Regions from separate parts of the Mus musculus genome. Here region 1 is reported to be linked to region 2. The links are microRNA targets in miRTarBase. Many come from high-throughput screens and were not tested one by one. Region 2 holds a microRNA gene; the other region holds the end of a gene's coding sequence.

Region 1 (3,127 bases), not on the chromosome of region 2:
ATAGAATTTTACTAATCACTGAATTCTAATTTTTTTAAAAAAAGGTTTAAATGTGACATTTCTAGGACAAAAAGAAAGGAAGGAAGGAAGGAAGGAAGGAAGGAAGGAAGGAAGGAAGGAAGGAAGAAAAAGAAAGAAAATCGGAGAACAGCATACTCACAAATCCTCAAGTCTGTGCTGGCTCTGTCCTCGAGGGCCCTACCCTTGGTTACTGCCCTGTCCTAGATGGGACGACCACCTTTAGGAGCTACTGAGGCCGAAAGTACCTGTCTTTTCTCAACCAAATCCTAGAAAGTGTCTAGGTGTGACTTGCATTTTAGAGATGAACGTAACTGTGGCTGAATAGCCACCTGGCCAAGGTTATACACTACAGCTACTAAAACTTGATGGGAGCTCAACGTAACCTATTCAGCTTTCAGTCTGCCCATGTCTTTTGATTTGTGGTTCCAGGGAGGCCTGTCATGTGGTGTTCAAATGCAGCAGGGCTAGTGTTCACTCTGGACTGCAGACAAGTGTGGCTCCCTCCCCATAGCTCTATAAACCTCTGCCTTCACGGGCCTTGATGCCAATAGATCGATCCAAGCAGCTCCCCACCCCCCACCACCACCCCGGAAATTAAAGTAGTACACAGGGAGCTGAGGGCTTGTGGCTGTGTAAAAGCTGCTCAACTTAACAGGAGTATCCAGGAAATGTCAGAATATATATATTTTCACACTGGCAATGATGGAAGCCAATTTCATAATTACAGCTGTAGATCTTAGTTATTTTTATATATAATCAGGGTTCACATTTTCTCTACAGAATAACAGCAGTGTTAAGGTTAACTCAGTCAAATTGCCCCTTATACCCTAGATAATTACAACTCTGGATGTTCAAAAGAGTCATTCCCACAGACACCGTAAAACTCAAAACTGAGATAACCAACCTAGAGAAAGATACCAGTCTTTACTAAAATATTTATTTACAATCTAACACAGCTCAATCTATATTTGTTACACTTCTAAAGAGAAGTATCCATTTCGCAGAAAGGGGGAGCATTATCATGCATCATATACTGTGAACAGCATTATTTTTTAAACTTTAAAAATTTTCATTCTAGGGGCTGGTGAGATGGCTCAGCGGGTAAGAGCACCCGACTGTTCTTCCGAAGGTCCGGAGTTCAAATCCCAGCAACCACATGGTGGCTCACAACCACCCATAATGAGATCTGACTCCCTCTTCTGGAGTGTCTGAAGACAGCTACAGTGTACTTACATATAATAAATAAATAAATCTTTAAAAAAAATTTTTCATTCTAATCAGATTGCTGAACATTGTAATGGTCACTATTAAACATGACCTAAATAATTGCTTTTGAACAATGAATATAAAACTAGTTAAACAATGACTAGTAAGGAGATCGCCCCCTTAATATGACAACTAAAATCTAAAAGGAGGGCTGGTGATGTAGTGTATACCTAGCATGTGTAAGGCCCTAGGTTCAATCCACAGCATTAAGTTAGAAAAGCAGGTGTTGTGGTGCTCACCTGTAGTTAGGAGGCTCAGGGATCAGGAGCTCAAGGCCACCTTCAGATACACAGGAAGTCTGAGGTTAGCTATGCTAGAGACCCTGATTCAAAAACAAGATACCCTAAAAACAGTATTGGCTATCCTATAAACAGATAAAGTGGAAACCAATGACCCTGATCAATACTCCATAATTACCTCACTGATATTCAAGAGCTCCCTTGGGTTCAATCAGTGCTTGTTCTATTAGACTGCAGACTCTCTGAACAAGTTCCCCAACTCTATCCCATAGCACCTGCACAGTGACTAGGTAAGTGGGAGCCAGTTAACAAATATCTGAATAACGGAATCAACAGAAACCCAATAATTTTATTATCATTTTTTGCAAGTTGTTCTCTGCTTAACCTATGAATCAGTAGTTCTAATTTGTAGAAATACAAATTTAAAAACATACTAAGTGATAAAAGGGCCTTCCACCTCATTTCCCTATCACTATCCTCTGCTTCCCTCCCTCCTACCTTCTTTCTGAAGTCCCCTTCCCCGCTCACACACACACCCTCACACCACACACACAGGACGACTACGAGTCAAAAGTACACTATGAACTATGAGATGTCAACATTGCATAAATAAAGTTTAATAGTGAAAAAGTGCTTTGGAAGCCCTGGAAACTGACCCTTCACATCTGAGATGTCACATGGGTTTAGGAAAAGAAAACAAAATCTCTTTTGTTCAGATAATCACTTCAATGCTGACATACATTTCTGGGTTTGTTATTTATTCAGAACTAGTTTACACTTCCTCCTGTTAACAGAGGCTCCTTTGTAGCATACAATCAATTACACCAATGAGAAAAGCCCTCACAGTTCCTTCATCGAGTTGCTATTCCTAAGAAAACACTGAACTGAGTATATACAAAAGAGGCGTCAGAATAAAACATGTCCACTTTTAATGTTTGTACAGTTTTATCTTTACATTCTTGTCTGGAAAAATATGAACAAACTCAGGTTTCCCATGCTAAAATAATGGTTTAGCCGACTGCCATAAAAGTAGAACATACAAATGACAGAGCTGACGCGTGTCCTTAGGTCCGTGATTACTGGGCGGCTTGCCCCGGCCCTGCGTGCTTTATTGTATCTCTTAGAATATAGGAGCAGCGTCACAAGTCTCCACTAGCGCATTAATGATGGAATCAGAACACAACAGACTCGTCAGGATGAGAGGCCTCAGAACAACCAGAAGTCAGTTTTATGCTTCTTCTTGCTCTGGATAATTTAGGATTTTGCGGTGTGCCTGACGTAAATATTGCTGCTGTTTGAAGTAAACCTTAAATGCTCCTTTTATGGCAACAAAAGCAATTCCACCCTAAAATAAAAAGGGAAATTAATGTTTTTATAATGCAGGATCAGATAAACAAGAAAAAGAACTTTACACCTATCACAAAAGACAGGATTTGAAGCCAAGTAAATGCTGATAATTACAAGTGAAACATTCTCTTCTGTGAGGGCAGAAGTTGGGAAAGAGCAGGCTTCAAGTAGCAAAGGAAGAGGCCCTGTTCCTACATCACTTGTGTAGCTTTCTTCCCATGGAGTTCTTACACACTGAGAGAGAGGAGAATGCC
Region 2 (3,271 bases):
CATGCTGAACTCTAACTCATCATGAAGTTAAACATGAATTTGAACTCCTCATCCTCCTGACACTGGCAAGAGTACTCACCTCCTGAGACATAGCTCTGGCCATTCCTATGAATGTGTGTGCATGTGTGTATATGCATATTCATATAGAGAAGTGAATATGCAGACAACTATACACACATGCACATTTTTGGTGGGCATAAGATGAATCCCATGCTGATCATGAACTCATCATGAAATTCAGCACAAATTTGAACTCCTGATCCACCTGACTCTGTCAAGGGACTTCACCTGCTGAGTGAGACCTCTCCCCATTCAGTACTGAGGAATCTTAAAACTCTAAGTCACACGTCATTCAAATGGATCGATGAGTTGCACTGATGTTTGTGTGTGTGTTTCTGTTTGTGTCTGTGTACATGTATATATTTGTGTAGATAGGAACATACATATACTCAAATCCACACAAAATATAAACAGATACAGATAGGGATACATAGGGGGCATCACATGAATCCCAGGCATATCTCTAAGTCATCATGAAGTAAAGCATGAATTAGAACTCCTGATCCACAATCTTTCACACCTGGTGAGTAAAACCGTTCACTGTCCCAGTACTGCATAATCTTTAAAACTTTAAGTCGCATATCATTCAAACGTATAAATGAATGCAATTTTTTTCTCTGTGTCTGTGCTTTCATATACACGTTTGTTTATGTTTTGTATATCATGTCAACAGATGCAATGCATATACAAGTAAACACATATGCACATACATGGATGGCCTCACATGAATACCAGGATGATCTCTAACTGAATTAAGCATGAAGTTGAAATCCTTATCCTCCTGACTTTGTCAATCTTTTACACCTGGTGGGTGAGACCATTCAATGTCCCCTATTGCATAATCTCTAAAACTCTACATCACTTATCATTCAAAGGGATTGGCGAATGCCATTCCTGTGTCTGTGTATGTGTGCTTGCGTTTATACGTGTGTGTGTGTATGTTATGTATATTCAAATATAGACATGAACATGCACACACAACTATACACACATGCACATACATGGAGGAATCACAGGCTGATCTCTCATGAGGATAAGTATGAATTTGAACTCCTGATACTCTTAACTCTAGCAAGCATTTTCACTCTAAGTCACTTATCACTCAAATGGATTGATGAGTGCCATTCCCATGTGTCTGTGTGCTCATATGTGTCTTATGTGTGCGTGTATGTATATGTATATCATATTCACACATGTACATGTACACACACATCAACACATACACATATTCATAGGGGCAATCACATGAATGCCAGGATGACCTCTAACTCATCATGCCTTTACCATGAACTTGCACTCCTGATCTTCCCGACTCTACCAAGGGTTTCCCGTGGTTTGTGAGACCTCACCCTGGCCAGTCATACATAACCTCCAAAGCAGTAGGTCACATATCATTCAAATGGATCCGTGAGGGCCATTCCCGCATGTCTGTGTGCATGTGTGTGTAGGTGTGTGTATGTATATGCATAAAATATACACGCATATACATGCAGGCACTTACGCACACAGGCACATACATAGGGGCCATCACATTATTCCAGGATGATCTCTAACTGCTCATGAAGTTAAGCATGAAATTGAACTCCTGATCCTCCTGACACTGTCAATTGTTTACACCTGGTGAGTGAGACCTTCACTGTCCTACTTTATAATCAGCAAAATTCTAAGACATATATCATTCAAATGGATCAATGAGTGTCATTCTTATTTGTGTGAGTGTGCATGCCTGTGTGTGTGACTACATTTGTATGTGTGTGTATTTATATGTATGATCATATAAACACATGTACGTGCACACAAAATTATATGCACTTGTGCATACCTAGGGTCCATCACACAAAAACAGGGTGATCTCTCACTCATTATGAAGTTAAGCATGAATTTGAACTCCTGAGACTCCTAACTCTGGCAAGTGGTTTTCATCTGATAAGAGAGATTTTTCCCTATACCATGAATATACACTCAATGAAACTCTAAGCACGTATAAATCAAAAGGATGACTGCCATGTGTGTTTGTGTGCACATGTATGTTTCCCTAGTTGTGTGTGTGTGTGTGTGTGTGTGTATATATATATATATATATATATATACATATATATATATATATATATGCATGTTCATATACGCGCATGTACACGCACACTTCACCTATACACATAAACACAAACACAGGGAAAATCACATGAATTCCGGGCTGATCTCTAACTCATCATAAAGTTAAACATGAATTTGAATTGCTCATCCTCATGATGCTGGCAAGAGTATTCACCTCCTAACTAAGTCATAGCTCGGGCCATTCGTGGGAGTATGTTTGCATGTGAGTATATGCATATTCATGTACAGAAGTGAATATGTACTCAACTATACACACATGCACATTCTTGGTGGGCATCACATGAATCGCATGCTGAACTCTAACTCATCATGAAGTTAAACATAAATTTGAATTCCTCATCCTGACACTGACAAGAGTGCTCACCTCCTAACTGAGACATAGCTCTGGCCATTCCTATGAATGTGTGTGCATGTGTGTATATGCATATTCATATAGAGAAGTGAATATGCACACAACTATACACACATGCACATTTTTGGTGGGCATAAGATGAATCCCATGCTGATCATGAACTCATCACAAAATTCAGCACGAATTTGAACTCCTGATCCACCTGACTCTGTCAAGGGATTTCTCCTGCTGAGTGAGACCTCTCCCCATTCAGTAATGAGGAATCTTAAAACTCTAAGTCACATATCATTCAAATGGATCGATGAGTTGCATTCATGTTTGTGTGTGTGTTACTGTTTGTGTCTGTGTACATGTATATATTTGTGTAGATAGGTACATCCATATACTCAAATCCACACACAATAGAAACAGATACAGATAGGGATACATAGGGGGCATCACATGAATCCCAGGCATATCTCTAAGTCATCATGAAGTAAAGCATGAATTAGAACTCCTGATCCACAATCTTTCACACCTGGTGAGTAAAACCATTCACTGTCCCACTACTGCATAATCTTGAAAACTTTAAGTCACGTATCATTCAAACGTATAAATGAATGCAATTTTTTCCTGTGTGTGTGTGCTTGCATATACACGTGTGTTTATGTTATGTATATCATGTCAACACATACAATGCACATACAAGTAAGCACACATGCACATACATGGGTTGCATGACATTAATACCAAGATGTCTCCAAA

Evidence for each region. Region 2 holds the annotated microRNA mmu-miR-466b-3p (AUACAUACACGCACACAUAAGA, at 1,213-1,234, opposite strand). A microRNA usually pairs through its seed, bases 2 to 8, with sites in the 3' UTR of a target mRNA and lowers its output. Matches are read on the target gene's strand: a 7mer-m8 pairs with bases 2 to 8, a 7mer-A1 pairs with bases 2 to 7 and ends in A, and an 8mer does both.
Region 1: miRTarBase lists Marchf5 as a target of mmu-miR-466b-3p. Seed matches in the 3' UTR shown: 7mer-A1 at 1,251-1,257.

What each region holds. Positions count from the first base shown.
Region 1 is chr19:37,221,134-37,224,260 of GRCm38, reverse strand. Marchf5 (membrane associated ring-CH-type finger 5) reads right to left here. Exons shown (of 6, transcript NM_027314.3): 6 at 1-2,871. The coding sequence ends at 2,755. Among named protein-coding and RNA genes, the nearest start is that of Gm25268, 11 kb to the left of the region's middle.
Region 2 is chr2:10,486,902-10,490,172 of GRCm38, reverse strand. Mir466b-5 (microRNA 466b-5) reads right to left here and starts at 1,286; the gene lies at 1,199-1,286. All of the region lies in intron 10 of Sfmbt2 (Scm-like with four mbt domains 2), which reads right to left. It overlaps Mir467a-5 (microRNA 467a-5), which reads right to left and starts at 1,574; the gene lies at 1,492-1,574. It overlaps Mir669p-1 (microRNA 669p-1), which reads right to left and starts at 1,057; the gene lies at 971-1,057.